2 linked regions of the Lonchura striata genome follow. The protein of the gene in region 1 purifies or fractionates together with the protein of each later gene. This does not show direct contact. Links are inferred from orthologs where the notes say so. Each region holds a gene or a part of one and is shown in the gene's direction. Other genes may lie near its edges.

Region 1 (7,873 bases):
GTTACATCCAAACCCTCGTGGGTTTGGAGATCTCTTGTTTTATCTGTATCAATACAATACCTCGGAGGAGCACAGTGATTTAGGAGGTGGCATTTGCATCACCTGGGCGCAAACACAGCCCAGGGCTGTAGCCAGTGGGAAGCAGAACCTCACAGGAGGCAGGGCACACCACTGGACAGCCACAATTGCAGCTGCTTTTGTCTTTTAGGTCAAGACCATCTTGCACTCTGACATGCTTCAGCCTGCCTTCAAGCTATGAGGCTTCGGAATTGGCTTTCTTACAATATACTTATCCGTATAAGATATTTCTCAAATTCCTCAATCTCAGAATAGACACATGCTTTATGAGTTTTGCATCATGCCTACCTTGAGCAACAGGTGGTGTTTCACAAGAGAACCCCAGTGAAAAGCACAATTCTTCCACAAAGCATTTTCCCCATGTTGTATCCCCTTCAGTTTGTGTTGTTACTAAGGCTAATTTTGTTCCTCCCCATATATTAAGAATTAGAGCCTCTTAATCTTTCTGCAGCCTCAAGTATCTGCTGGGAATCTCTTGCTTGCTCAGTGTGTTGCTGCAGGTTGCCCTGGGCTTGACACCCAGACACCAGCTGGCATCTTGTACTTACCCATTTCATGACAGGTGCCCAGAAAAACACTGTTTTGGGACCTGAGGGAGAATGGGAGAAAAGAAGTTAAATTACTTAGTAAGGTGTGGCTGTTTTAATAGCCACAGTAAGTTTGTTTTATTTTAATTGTTGTTTTTTTTTAATAATGAATTGTTTATATTAGAGTTTCTATTGCTGTACAAGCTCTAGCACCTAATACTCATAATTCATCACCTCAGTGCATCAACCTTCAGTTGTATAATCACTCCACACATTTCTGCAACAGTTGGACAGGATTTTTTATATCCATGTTTAAGCAACTGAGGACACTGGAGCAAGCAAAATGCATTTTTAAATTAAAGACTTAGGAAGAGTCCTAGGAATATGGAAAACACCCCAAAAATCTACCAGTAAGCAAAGGAGGATTTGGGGGAAAATGAGGAAATCTCAAGAAGGAAGGGAGGAAAATCCAATGGCATGGGACCTGGGGGAAAAACAACTCTCTTATGAATACTTGTGATTTTCAATGGTGCTAAAACAGCAACTGGTTGGTTAAAACAAAGCCCATGTAAAGCCACGCCTACAACTATGCCAGAAATCATTAATCTGGGACTTCTGCTCCAAGTCTTAAATGAGAGACCACAATTCAAATTACCAACCCCTATGAAACAGTCAGAAATTAACCTTTAGGTCACTGCTCAGCACACTGATAACATGCAAAATGAAGCCAAGTTTTCACTATAATATATTACATAGGAGTAACCACCAGGACTTTGGTTCCTGCTTTTTATGAGAGCTATTTCTTTCACTAATAATTCAGCCTTAAAAAGACCTTGCACTAACTACTTGTACTTCCAGTTTTAACCATCCTCAAGTTTAAAACTATGAATTGGGAAACAAAAACTGGCTTGGCAGCCTTGCATAAAGCCCTTTTTAACCCACCCAGCTTGTGATCAAGTTTCAAACTCCATTTAATAACTACAAGCACACTACTTTTTGTCTAATATTGTTGAATATTAGATAACAGCAGCTTAATGTTCATCCTTTAAAGATATAAACTTCAGCTGCTGTTCTCTTAGGCACTTACTTGGTGTGTCAGTATCAGGCTGCAAATACAGCTTGTTATAAATAAATCAGTCTTACAGAGTAGCTTTAATTACTAACATTTATCTTATTCTAAAAAGCAAATTCAGATTTGGAGTACCAGAGGATGTGGGATGAGTATAAATTATTAAACTGACATTCCCTAAACAGCTAGTATAGTTTTCAAGAAGACTGACATTAATTTTTATTAATAATAGAAAACTCAACCATTTCAAATTGATGACTGCAGAAATAAGAATTGGAGAGGGGGAAGGTACCAAACCAAGTTTGTAATTAGGGAAGACTGTTAAACACCTCTCCTTGGAGCACTCCAGCAAGCACCCAGCCTGGGTGAACTCTTCCCAGCTCCTGACATCCAGAATTTTTCAAGGATGAATACAACAGCAGCACATGAGAGCAGGGGAACACCAGAGGCTAATTTAGGTATCACATACATGACCAGTTTTATAGAATTTATGACTTCTATTAAACGTAAGAAGTCTTTGTGCTGAAAACTTGAGTTTAGTCAGGCAAAGTGAACCAGAGCAGCCAAAGGGGAGGGAGCACAAGCTCAGCCCTTGCTTTCCCATGGCAACCTGGGGAGTTGGTGTGCCAGGCCCTCCACTGTCCTCCAACAATGCCAGCCAAAGAAACAGTTTTTAACAGGCACCAATTCTTTTGCTGGAAGCTTTCTTTATGCCAGAAAGTGCTTCATGCCTCACAGGTGATTTATAATTTCATGACAATGACGCTTATATTCCTGAATTAGACTAGAGATTAAGATGTCACTGGAGATAAAAGAAAGTCTTTCATTTTTAACCCACTTTTTTTCCTGCAGAGTGACATCTATTGCATAACTTTCTCAAAGACACACCTTCAAGGCTAAAATAGAAGTTGCAGGGGTTCAGTTTCTATACTTGCTTGTGCTGTGACTTTTCTCACTTACACCATCAGTATGGATTATGACAGGTATATAACATATATATACACAAAGAATCCCTAAAAATGGATTTATTACTGACAACATTATGGTGATGACCAAGAGCGGCCCACAGGCAGTTTTGTGAAGTGAAAAGCACTGCAAGAGAACCTCCAAAACTTTCTCCAATTCCCACTACAGCTCTGTTGAAGAAGGAACATGGATGTTCCCAGCACTTGCTGTGCCTTGCATCCACTAAGAGTATCTGGAAGCTGTCACATTTCACACCAGTGGAATGTGTCTCTCAGTGTTGGACATACTGTCTCTTTATGTATAAAAGCAATACGCTAATGTTAAATATATTGGTCTAGTGAATTCAGTATAAATCAAACATTTTGAGGACTGCACTCTTCATCCTTTGTGATTCCTTTAGAACAACGATTTTCCTTCCAAGAAAGGGCCGTTGTAAGAGGATAGAGCAAGTGACTGCAAACCAAAGTCCATTTTCACAGTGCATATTCCTGGTAGGTGAAGAGTCAAGGATGCCTGTGACACTGACAGGAAACAGTGGGGACAGAGCCTATGGAATGCCAGGATTTTATCGGGCGCTCGTTTTAACAACCGACGCAATTTGTTTACATGACAAACACCACGTAGATGGCACTGAACGAGATCCTTTTACAGGAGGTTTCTCCCTAATAACACAACCCCCCACGTTTGCCCATGGAAAGGTAAACTGCAGGTCAGGTGAGGGGAGCTCATTCTTTACCCGCAGGAGTCCTCCAGCGAATTCACCAAAGGCATGAGCTGTCTTTGGTAGAAGCGTGGGATTCAGCAGAAAGGAAATAAAACCAAAGGCTGCCTGACTTGACCAGGGCACAGTTCAAGATCAGAAACCCTGGAAGTGCCCAAGGCCAGGCTGGATGGGGCTCTGAGTAGCCTGCTCTGGTGGAAGGTGCCCCTGCCCGTAGCAGCGGGTGGAACGGGATGATCTTTAATATCCCTTCCATCCCAAACCATTCCAGGATTCTATGATTTTTCCAGCACATCCTCTTGCAAGAAGCGGTTCCCGAGGCATCCAGGCCCCTTTAGACCCACGACATCCCCTGGGCCAGGCTCTGGCAGCCCAGGCGCTCCCTGGATCCGCCCCGCGGTACCGCGACAGTGACAGCAGCGCATCCATCCCGGAACCAGCCGTGCCGTGCCCGATTATCCTGCTCTCCCTTCAGGAGCAGTCAATTCCCCGTTACGGAGCAGGACTCCGCTCCAGGGCCGCCCTCCCGCGCCAGAAGCACCCGAACCGCGTTACTGCGGCCCCGCCCGTACGGAACACATCCCCCGCGCCACCATCCCCGCCGGTCCAACCGGGGGCCAAGGTGACCCGCGCCCATTACCCGCGGGGTGGTTGTAGAAGGGCCGGAACCGCGGCGGCAGCATGAGCTCGATGCGGTCCAGCAGGCGGTGGTAGGAAGCGCGGAGCCCCGCGACTGCGGCCGCCATGGCGAGGGACGGGGCGAGCGGGGTCCGAGTGGGGAGAGAGGGGCGAGCGGGCACCGAGCGGGGGCCGCGTCCCGTCCGTCCGTCCGTCCGTCCGTCCTCCGCCCGGGCCCCGCCCCCCGGGCCTGCCCGCCCGGCACTGCGCCCTGATTGGTCACCGCCGCAGGGGGCGGGGCGGGGCGGAGAGCTGCGCGCGCTGTTATTGGCTGAGCGCGCTGGGCCGGGCAGCTGGGGAGAGCTGGCGCGCCCGCCGCCCTCGGGAAGGGCACAGGCGCCCGGCTCAGAGATGGCGGCCGCTGCTTCGCTCTCCCCTCAAGATGGCCGCCGCGGGAGAACCCTGCGCTGCGAGTAATGCGCCCTAAGCCAAGATGGCCGCTTTGCGGCTTCACAGCGCTTCACTGGACGGGGCGGGTTTATTCCCGGCGGAGCCGAGCGCCCTGACGTCACCCTCCACGCCCACGACGCGCCCTCCCCTCAGTCGGGGCGGGGCGACGTCACCGGCTCGCGCGAGACGCCCATTAATCTCGGGCCTCCGTGCCCCCTCCCCGGCGGGCGTGGCCCACCGCGGCCGGGGTGGGCGTGGCCCCCGCGCGCGGTGGGCGTGTCCCGGAGCCGCCGCGCCCCTGGCTCGCGGTCGGTGCCTCGGCGCGAGGCGGGCGCGGGGCGCGCGCGCGGGGCCCGCTCGGCGGTTCCCATGGTGATCGCGCGCGCCCGGCCGGTCCCGGCGCACCCCCCCGGCTCGGCGCGCGCCCTTCCCGCCCGCGCGGGGCCATGTCCCGCGGGCGCTGCCCGCACCTGCTGTGGGACGTGCGGAAGCGGACCCTGGGGCTGGAGGAGCCGGGACTGCTGCGCAGGCACTACCTCGGTAAGGACCCGCGCTCGGCGGGGCGGGCGAGCTCCGGCCGTCCCGGGCGCCCACCGAGCGGGCAGGGGGCCCGGAGCCCCTTCCAGGCGCCGCCGCTCCCCCGCTCGGCCGCGCTGTCCCGCAGCTCCGAAGTTTCCTGTGCCGCGTGTGGGGCGGCGACACCTCCAAATCCACCCTCCGCGACCTCAGGGGCGGTCCGGGACACCCCGGCCCCATCCCTCCGCGCTGCCCGGGTGGCCTGGGGCCCGCCGGGACCCCCCGGTCCCTCGGTGCGCGGCTCCGCTCGCCCGCCGCGCCTGTTTCCCGAAGGAACTGTTGCACGCGGAGATCCAGCCGGGAAGTTGGGCGGCGGCTCAAAGCAGCTCCGGCGTCGGGCGTTCCGTGCCCGGGGCCGGGCAGGGTCCGGATTTACCGGCGCTGAGCTGCCGGCGGCTGGGAACAAAGCACGTAGACGCCTCCGGGGTGATGGCGCGGCCGCTGTCCGGCGGCCCGAGGTGTTGCCGGGCTCCGGGAGAAGCCGAGCCGCCGCCGGCGCTCGGCGCGGCCATCCCCCGCGCCCTGGTGTCCCCGAGCGCTCCGCGGGGTCCCCGCCGGCGGCGCGGCCCCGGCTGCCCCCGCGCCCGAGCCAGGCATTTGCACTTCCCAAGTTACAGCCAGCGCCACTTTTCCTCCCCGAGGCCGCGCTCGGCGTGAAGGAACTATCGATGTTTTTTGTCATGGCGCAGGTTTTGTCTAAACACGCTGCCAAAAAGTATTTTTAAACGCCGGTGTTTATTTCACGTGTTGTCGGAGGTGTGGCGATCCATCGTAGCGGCGCTGGGGATCTGGGGGTTGTCTCTCCGGGGTAGATGGCTGGGTGGGTCGGGAACGCGTTCTTTTGTGCTCGTGTGCCAAAACAATTCTTGCCTTGGAGTGGAAACCTCGAGTACTCGAGATGGAGCTTGATTTACAGCGTTGTAAAACGAGTGTCGATCCGTGTCTCCCAGGCTTTCCCGGCTGTGCTCGGTGGTGATGGTCTGTCGTTTGGGTTTTTCCTGGTGGAATTTAAGGTGGGATATCACATTACTGAGCCTAACTCAAGAGTTTTCTGCCTGTAGTCCCTGAGCGCTCAGTAATCCACAAAACGTTAATCGAGGAAATCAAGGTTATTGCTGTAGGTTTCTACCGATTGCAGAGAGGGGGGTGTGTCGGTGTGTGCCGTGCACAAGTCCCTTGGAAAGAAATTTTGAGTCCTAAAATAAAAAAATTGATTGAGAACTAACGATCTAGCTGCTTTTGATTTTGTTTAGTCTCAAGCTGTGCTTGGCCAAGCCTTAGCCGAGGATTGTTATAACTTTTAGTGATCAATCCTTCTGACTGGATTTTTTTTTTTTTACTTTTTGTCTGCTCCAGTTGGAGCAGAAAACCTCAATGTTAAAATGAGGACTGTAGTGTGCAGATTCTGAAGAAGTGCCTTTTTTTTTTTTTTTGGAAGAAGACCTTTGTTGGTTTTTTTCTTCAGCTTTTACATGGTTGTGTCTCTGAGAGTTGAAGTACTAAGATTCGAATAGTAGAAATCATCTTCCCAGACTTCCAAGATGTCTTTTCTGGATGCTACTCCAATAAAATGTTTCTAACTTTAGTTAAAACTATGGTGCCTTGGTTAAGGTCTCATATTTACTATTCTTCCTTTCACCTAAACAAGTTCAGTTGCTTGAGAGCCTTGAAAAAATAGGACCTGGGAGAGCCTTCCCACGGAATTGAAGTTGAGATCTGCATTGGTGGTGACAAGACATGCTCAGTCCGTACTGACTCCTGCTTTTCACCAGGGGGTTGGTACAGGGTGTGCTTGTCTTGTGGAACCACTGCACTTTTACCCAAATGGCGTTTATGGCCTTGATAAACCCACTGATTTGACTGCTAGTCAGGTGTGGTTGTTCAAGTGCAGATTTCCTAGAGAAGAGGCCTGTTGTGCCTTTTTGTGTGCAGGGCAGTGTAGGTGTAGGTCTTTTCTCTTTCAGACTTCAGCAGCTCTGTGTACGAGCTTTGTTCTCTGGCCCACTGGTCAAGACTGCCCTGGTCAGCTGGGTGCAAGTGCTTATTGGTCACTGCTGGTCTGATCTGCGTGGGAAGTAAGGCTTCTTCCTATTTATAATTTCTTTTTTTCAGTAGTGTTTCAACAGTCTGGCAGGCAGAACAAATGGAGGGCAGGAATTTCACTGTAACTTAGGAGTAGTGGGAGACTTGAGGCATTGTCCATGTGCATTTTTTTTTTTATTTGAGCAAATCTGTCTAAACAGTTATGGATTCAGGTACAAAATGAAGTAATTTATATGTCTCTTCTTTGCTTGCTGCACTTTTTCAGCCACCAAATGAAAGGAAAAGCATTACAGCAAGTTCATGACTAACAATGCAATTGGGAGGAAGATGTCTGTGTGGATGGTAGTTAATGAGCCCTTCACTGGGATGGTTGTGTTGTGCTACAGTGTAAAATATCAGAAATATCGACAGTGACCATGTTTTGAAGAAAGACATCTGAGAACTAATTGCTGTTTCCTATTTACTCGGTGTTTTAGTTTCATGTGAATTGGCAATCAAGTGGCACTCTATAAATAGCCTCTCTCAGCTTCTGAAAACAGCTGCTCCAGGAAGGGTCTGTGTAATGTACCTTTCCATGCAGATAGCTCACCCGTGGAATTTATGGCCTTGCGGAAACTCTCTCTGATTTTGCAAGATCTCTAAATAATTGCTTTGAAGTCCAGTCAGTTCTGGACAGAGTTTCAGAGAAACGACTCATGAAGATGGGGCTGTAGGTGCATCTGTGGGATGTATCCTTCAGCTGTTATGCTTTGGTGAGAACTCCTGCTGTGATGAGAGAGGGAAGATGTGGGTCTCAGCAAGGTATTTGTTAACTACATTTCCTTC
Region 2 (7,714 bases), on another chromosome or scaffold:
GAATCCTAATGTGGCCGAGGGATACAGGAAACGTCTCACCAAGATCCAAGCTCAAGATGTGCCGATTGACATTAAACCTGTGAACCCACCAGATATATTCAGCTCAGAGCCACAGGAGCCGAAGCAGCTCTTCTGGGTGCGAGCCCGAGGCTACATAGGTGGGTCCTGCTGGGTTCAGGTACCTCCCAATCCAAGGGCTTAAGCACCAGCTCACCTGTGGAGCACTCTTGCAACAGAATGGGCTGGGAGGGCTGTGATTAGGGGGCTTCCTGTGCCCTAGCCTGGACACTTCAAGGCTGTAATACAGGTGTGGGTGCAGAAATGATGCTGTGAACCATGCTGGGGCATGGCATGGCAAAGGGAATAAGTCTGGAGGGATCTCAGATGTGCTTGGCAGCTGGCTCCAGGGGAGCGGAGCCCCTGGGGCTCTGCACTCCAGACACGTCCCACAGGCCCCAGCGGGATGGGCAGCACTGGTTGCTCTGCAGGGGAGACTGACATGAAGGTGCACTGCTGCGTGGCTGCCTACATCTCTGACTACGCCTTCCTGGGCACGGCCCTGCTCCCGCACCGGCAGTACCGCGTCAAGTTCATGGTGTCCCTTGACCATTCCATGTGGTTCCACGCGCCCTTCAGAGCTGACCACTGGATGCTGTACGAGTGTGAGAGCCCCTGGGCTGGTAAGTCCTTAGTGCATTTTTGGGAGACCCTCATGGCCAAGGCCAGCCCTGCCTGTCCTGGGGCAGTGGGCTGCAGTCTGACAGTCTCTCTCTGCAGGTGGGTGCCGGGGCTTGGTGCAGGGACGGCTGTGGCGCAGGGATGGGGTCCTGGCTGTCACCTGTGCACAGGAAGGTGTCATCAGGGTGGAACAGTCACCAAACCAGAGCAAGCTCTAGCTGAGGAGACGCTATAGACTCAAGCATGCCGAGGGAGGGACCCTGAGATCAAGACACAACCTGGACAGGAAGGAGACCAGGTGGGACCAAGCACTGCAGGAAGTTCCAGTGCCAGAGATGTCTGCGACAGACTGTGACCAACAGAGCATCGCTGCAACCAGCTGCTAGCTGCACAGCATGTAAGCTCACACTGCCATCAGCTATCCTTCATCCACCTTAAAATAAAGCCATTGGGTGAAGAGCTGGACTCTGTCCCTGGAGTTTGTCCCCTTGGACCTGTGACTGGGCTTGCACAAGGGCAGGCAGTGCCAGGAGCACAATGGATCAGCTCTTCCCCTGTGCCAGGCTGGGTCACAGGAGGGGAAGGTGCTACTTTGGCACACGTTGTTTCCTCTTCTCACTTCTGCACTGCTTGTACTGCCCTGGCTCCTCAGTCGCTACTTCTGCTTGTCCTTGGGCTCCTCCCCAGGACTGGGCTTGGGCTTGGGCCCAGTTGGGAGCTGGGAGAAGGGGATGAGGCAGCTCCCACCTCTGTATGGAGGTTTGAGGCCTCCCACTGATGATGCCCTGGGGTAGTAAGGCTAAACAGACTCAGCAGGCGCCGTGCTCTTCTTCCTGCCAAGACTTTATTTAATAAAGTCCTTTCTATTGTGTAAGTTCGATGGGAAGTTCCCAGCAAGAGCCCTGGACCCTGCCAGAAGTTTTCCCATTCCCTTGCAAGGTGCCAGTATGTCCCAGCTAAGGTCTCAGCCACTCCAGGATCCCCTGCAGAGGGGGAGCAGCTTCTGGCAGCACCAATGTGGGTGGTGGACCCCCTTGAGTCCCCAGCCCCGCTAAACAGACTAACCACAGAGAAAGTGCATTCAGGAGGCAGCTCTAGGCATGGGCGGTGCTGCCCGTGGGACTGCAGCGCTGCTCCCCTGCCCCATTGCCACCCATGGCATTTCCCTCGCTGTTGCCAGCTGCCACAGGCCTGTGAGCTCCCCCACAGCCCTTGCCCTCCCGCCCCTGTTAGCACAGGTGGCTCATTCCAGAGGTTCCTTGATCAGGCATTCCTTCAGGGAAGGCTGCTGCTGCAGAGGCAGCCCAGCTTCCCGCAGGTCCTGCAGCCGGGCCTCCGAGCGCCGCTTGTCCTTGCCCACCTTCCAGGCCAGGTGGACGTGGGTCTGCAGGAAGGGTCCCAGGAGCGGGTGGCTGCCCTGGGCCTCCAGCAGCTGCAGCGCCTGCTCGCAGCAGCCATGGGCCTCACTGAGCTGGTCCAGCTCCTGGTGGCAGACGGCCAGCCCGGCCAGTGTCAGCAGGAAGCGGCCGGAGCTGCAGACCCCCAGCCGGTCCTGCAGCCGGTAGGCATTGGCCCAGGTGGCCAGGGCCTCGCGGTACATGCCAGTGCAGGTCAGGCGCTGTGCAGCCTGCAGGTCCGGCAGGAAGAAGAACTCGAGGAACTCGGGAGAGCGGCGGATCTCGTCGATGGAGTGCAGATGGGACAGGAACTGTTCGAAGGCTCGGCTCCGCTTGGCAATGGTCTCGGCAGTGAAGTTCCGGCGCAGTCTCTTCCTGGGGAAGGCAACGCTGGCCATGTCGCAGCTGAAGCGGCAGCGCAGGCGGCGGTTCAGCTGCTCAAAGTCCGAGTAGCGCCGGGCGATGGTGGCAGGGGCCTTGTCAAACTGGCCAGAGCGGATCAGGTAGATGGTGTAGAGCTGTGGGGGAGGCAGGTGTCAGGCAGTGCTGTGGGCAGGTTGCTCCCGGCACAAGCACAGCAGGGTGTGCGGCCACAAAGGGGCTGGGGGAGTTTGCCCAAACAGAAGGGAGTGGACTGGGCTGCTGCAGCCGCAGCACCCATCAGCAATAGTTACCTGAGGCTCATCTGAGCCGCCAGCACCATCCGAGCAGCACGGAGAAAGAGAAAAAAATAAGCACCAGCCCCGTGGGATCCCTGCCCCGGGGAGAGCAGGACTCGTACCCACCCCCTGCCCGCCCAGCCGCGCCGGGCTCACTCACCACGTACTTGGAAGAGCGCTCGCTGACCACGCTGGCGCTGGTGACCTCGAAGAGCAGCCGCTGCGGTGCCAGGCTGCCCCGCGACCTCCGCCACAGCTCCTGCAGCTGCCGGGTCAGCAGGCTGCCGCCGGGACGCTCCGCCGCAGAGACCCACTCTGTGTCGGGAGAGGAGCGTCAGTGCCCCCCGTGGGGACAGGGCTCTGACATCTGTCGGGCTGCCGGACGCCACCATCGCATAAGTGTCCCTGGAGTCACCCTAGTCCCCCCAGCTCACCGCCCCAGCACCTGCCTCCGTCCTCTGTGCCTGCCGCCGCTCCCGGCGCCTGCGGCGGCTCCTCCAGCTCCTCGCTAGCTCCGTCCCCCTCCTCCTCTTCCTCCTCGTCCTCGTGGCTGGTAAAGCTCAGGGTGCCGCTGAGGCGCGTCGACAGCCCCTCGGTGTCGTCCTCCAGCTCCGAGCTCTCCGGGCAGTCCTCGGCCTCGCCGCCGCCGCCCGCCGGCTCCTCCCGGCCGGCCTCGCCCGCCAGCGCGTGCCGCAGCCGGTGCAGGATGCGGGCGGCCATCGCTGCCGGGGGTCCGGCCCGGCACCGCGGCACGGCGGGGCCGGGGGCTGCCCACCGCGGCACGGCCCCCGGCGGGGACAGCCCGGCCCCGGGACAGCCTCCCGCTGCTGCCCCCGCCCCGGCCCGTTCGCGCTGCCCCGGGCCGAGCCGAGCCGAGCCGGGCAGTGCCGAGCGATGGCCGCTCCGCCACGGCTCGTCCCGGGATCCTCCCTGCGCGGCTCCGCCTCCGCCGGGAACCCGGATCGGGGCGGCGGAGCCGGCACCGCCCGGCACGGCCGGGATCGGGATCGGCGCTTGCGGCAGCGTCCGGCACTATCGGGATCGGCTCTCCCGGCACTGCCCGGCACGGCCGGGATCGGGATCGGTCCCTGCAGCACCGCCCGGGACTCCCGGATCAGGGTCAGGGCTCAGCCTGGCTCTGCCCGCAGCCCCTGCCTAGGAACCGACCCCGCCCTTCCCCGTCTCGGCTCCTCTGTCCCCTGTCCGGGATGTCCTGGTCGGGCCGAGCCCCGGATATCTGCCCTGGGGCCACAGGACCCCCACACTCCAGTGCTCGGCGCTGTGGTGTCCCAGGGTCTTGATACCCCAATACCCTGGCATCGCTGTGCCCTTACAAGCAGGATCACCAACATCTTTGTATCCTGCTACCCAGACTCAGGCTCCTTATCCCACTGGGATGCCCCTGGGCCACCTTGGCAACCTGCCACCCTGGCCTCAGTCGGCCTCCTCGCCACGGGCCCCATGGCCAAGCTGCACCTCCAGCACTTGCCTGGCCTTTTTTAGAGCCTGCCCGCTCACTCCTCACTGCTTCCTTGGGAATGTCTATAAATATCGAGGAAGCAGCCCAGCTGCTGCCATCACTCTGTCCATCGCTTGTTCACTGTGTCCTGTTCCAGCACCCTGCACCTCACCCAGGCTCAGATGGGACCCCTGAGCTTCTCTGAGCAGGGTGGGATGCACTAGGGGCTGGACTTGTTCCCAGTTCCCACCTGGTGAATGGGGGTCCCAGCAAAACCAGGAGCTAGGAAACCCCTGGTCATCCCTGGCACTGGGACCTTGTGGGACAGAGATCAGTCACCCTGACCCCACTGCAGCCCTGAGACTCTGAGCCCCACAGGGCATGGGCTACTTGGCCAGTACATCCCCAGAGCCACCAGCCCCAGCCGGTCCTGGCAGCAGTGGCTGGCACAGGCTGTGAGTGTGAGGACTGAGCCTTCGAGGAGGCACCGGGCATAATTCCCACTCCTCAGAAGCACGAAAAGATGGACCTATTTCCGGAAACAGGTGCCAACAGCACTGGGGACCCCAAACCATGGGGCTCATGCTCCAAATCTCTCCAGGGACTTCATGCCCTGGGCCCCACTGGGGACCCCTTCCTTATCTGGGGTGGGGGGCTGCAGCACTGCTCTGCCTGGGTCTCTTGGAGCAGAAAATGGGGGTGCAGGGGGAGAGAACGCTGTGCTGGGGGAAACCAGCTTGGTATTGGGAGCTTGGGCCAGGAAGGGCTACTTTTTCAGGGGCCAGTGGGTAATAGTCCATGCCCCCTGAGCAGGGGGGATTCTGTCCCCCTTACCCGGGTGATGCTGACGTCTCCAGGGCTATTTTTAACCCCCTCATTGCTGAGTTGCCTTGGATGGGGGTGTTGGGGGTGGGCAGAGCTGTGCTCCTGCCACAGTTTTGATCTCCCTCCTGAAGGGCTTGAATTTCCATCCCAGCCTCATCCCCACGTTAATCCCAGCCCTTGGCCAATAAAGCTTTGGCTAAATTAGGTAAAGGCACCAGTTGCCAGTGAGAGGGGCTGGATGCTGCCAGAGCGCTGATAGGCTGAGGGGGCCAGGGGGCTGTAGCTGGAGGAACATCCCACAGAGGAGACACTACAAATTGGGGTGCCAGGGGCACCACGAAGCTTCTGGGAGTTCCTGCTGCAGGAGCTGGTGATTCTCTGGGGTTGGGAAGCCCAATAAATTCCCAAGATGGTAAGCGTTCCTGTGTGCTGTGTGCCATGTGCTGTGTGCCAGGACAAGACCTGACTGGGCAGGAGGCACAGGGGGGTCTGGGCTGTGGAGGTGCCTCTGCAGAAGGCAGCAGGGATACGGTCCCCAGTGCTGGGCTGACCATGGCAGTGAGGACAGGGAAACGTTGGGGTGGTGCAGGGTCCCCACAGGACAGATCTGAGGGTGAGTGTGGCTGCTGAGGGGTGCAGGTTCCTGGGGACACCATCTCAGCCCTGTGCGGAGCTCAGAGCTGCACAGAGGCAGGGGTGGCAGGGGTGGCTGAAAGCCGAGTGCTGGGTCATGCGACACGGCGTTGCTGCTGGCTCCATGGCCGGCCTGCGCCTCCAGGAGAAACTCGATCGGGGTTGACAGGTGCCACGGCTGGAGCCCCAGCAATCCCTACAAGGGGAGCTGAGGAGAACCCAAAAATAGCACTGCATGCCCAGGATACCAAGGCTGTACACAGGGACCATGACCCCAGCACAATGGAGCCCCCTGGATAAGGGGAGACTTGTGCAGGCAGCTCCCTGCAGCCCTCCATGTTCATGGGTGCCTAGAAAGTGCCATAACTGTAGGGATTGCTGGTGTCTGTGACTCATGGCAGCACAGGATCATCCTGCAGCAGGGCAGAGGCTCTTTCCACAGCCAAGCACTGTTGGCCATGCTGTATGAGGGGTCTCTGGCCTGATATGGGTGCCCCTCTCCCTTGCCTTACAGACGGACCAGCAGGCAGAAGCCCGTGCCTTCCTCAGTGAGGAGATGATTGCGGGTGAGTGTGGGGACGGTAGGGACAGGGGCTGGACATAGCCATGGTGCAGGGTCTGGCTCTGCTCCACTGTTCAGAGACCTGACTTGTCTCTCCACAGAGTTCAAAGCCGCCTTTGACATGTTTGATGCTGATGGTGGTGGAGACATCAGCACCAAGGAGCTGGGGACGGTGATGAGAATGCTGGGCCAGAACCCCACCAAAGAGGAGTTGGATGCCATCATCGAGGAGGTGGATGAGGATGGTGAGCAGCCCTTGGTGGCTGGTGGCAGGGGTGGGTACTGGACCCTGGGCAGGTAGCCTGACCCACGCTTGGCTTCCTCCCCACAGGCAGCGGCACCATCGACTTTGAGGAGTTCTTGGTCATGATGGTGCGCCAGATGAAAGAGGATGCCAAAGGCAAGTCTGAGGAGGAGTTGGCCAACTGCTTCCGCATCTTTGACCGGTGAGTGTGGGGGCAAAGTGGCCCATCCTGTCTCTGGGGGCGAGCAAGGTCTCATCCCTCCCTCACCCTCCTGCAGGAATGCGGATGGGTTCATTGACATTGAGGAGCTGGGCGAGATCCTGAGAGCCACCGGGGAGCCTGTCACTGATGAGGACATAGAGGACATGATGAAGGACTCAGACAAGAACAATGACGGCCGCATCGACTTTGATGGTGAGCAGTGGCCCCAGACAAGCACCCACGTTGTACACCCAGGCAGGGCCATGGGCTGAGGCTGCTGCTCTCTTGCAGAGTTCCTGAAGATGATGGAAGGTGTGCAGTAAGGGACCAGACATTCCTCAGGCCAGCTGCTGCACCCAGCCCTGCTCCTCTGCTGTCCAGGGAGCAGCAGCTCCACAGCATCTGGCCCTCAGCACTGGCTGGGACCTTGCTCCATGTCAGGGTCCTGGTCTCATCTCACCACCGGCGGCTGAGCTTTTCCTCCCATCTGTCACCTGTGGCTTTGATTCGAGCCTCAATTAAAGAGGAAAGGCTTGAGCTGCTGGTGCAGGATTTCACTGGGGGTGCATGGGGAGGGGGCTGTGGCAGTGTGCCCCTGCTCTGCTCCTCAGGGAGGGAACGTGGGCAGGCTCACGCCACAGGGAAGTGCTGCAGGAGTAGCCCAGAGTTGTGGTTCCCACGGCCTCTTGGGCAGGCGCCAGCGCTGAGCTCAGAGTTTCCGTGCAGAGCAGCTCGTTCACACGCCAGAGGGTGGCCCTGGCCCTGAGAGTCCTGCTCCAGGGCAGGGCTGTGGGACTGCAGGGGTTCTAGAGAGCCACCGCTGCCCGCCCCACACTGGGACCCACATCTCCCCCCCAGAGGACCTGGCTATAAGGTGGAAGGGCAGGAGCAGCCCCCTCCCTACAGGGGAAAGGTGGCACTTGTCCCTGTGGCCCTCTGTGAAGGAGGCTGTGCTAGCCTGCTGGCAATCACAGCTCCCTGGGGACCAGCTGGGGTGGAGCAGAACAGAGGGGAAGAGGAGGGGTACAGTCCCCAGCCAGGGTGGGTGGGACACC

Evidence for each region.
Region 2: the proteins of DCAF6 (region 1) and TNNC2 purify together in Homo sapiens (affinity purification with mass spectrometry; 3 studies listed by BioGRID and IntAct, with this or other methods). This does not show direct contact. The link is inferred for Lonchura striata from reciprocal best matches to the Homo sapiens genes DCAF6 and TNNC2.

What each region holds. Positions count from the first base shown.
Region 1 is NC_134604.1:15,140,407-15,148,279, forward strand, and holds the start of DCAF6 (DDB1- and CUL4-associated factor 6), read left to right. Parts: upstream 1-4,808; 5' UTR 4,809-4,875; coding exon 4,876-4,969; intron 4,970-7,873. Other genes in the region: MPC2 (mitochondrial pyruvate carrier 2), read right to left, coding at 627-667, 4,002-4,107. UniProt on the Homo sapiens protein: Ligand-dependent coactivator of nuclear receptors. Enhance transcriptional activity of the nuclear receptors NR3C1 and AR. May function as a substrate receptor for CUL4-DDB1 E3 ubiquitin-protein ligase complex.
Region 2 is NC_134619.1:8,185,758-8,193,471, reverse strand, and holds TNNC2 (troponin C, skeletal muscle), read left to right. Parts: upstream 1-5,224; 5' UTR 5,225-5,427; coding exon 5,428-5,430; intron 5,431-6,165; coding exon 6,166-6,217; intron 6,218-6,314; coding exon 6,315-6,458; intron 6,459-6,544; coding exon 6,545-6,659; intron 6,660-6,735; coding exon 6,736-6,872; intron 6,873-6,950; coding exon 6,951-6,982; 3' UTR 6,983-7,196; downstream 7,197-7,714. Other genes in the region: ACOT8 (acyl-coenzyme A thioesterase 8), read left to right, coding at 1-158, 489-680, 778-896; SNX21 (sorting nexin-21), read right to left, coding at 1,922-2,593, 2,895-3,049, 3,184-3,454. UniProt on the Homo sapiens protein: Troponin is the central regulatory protein of striated muscle contraction. Tn consists of three components: Tn-I which is the inhibitor of actomyosin ATPase, Tn-T which contains the binding site for tropomyosin and Tn-C.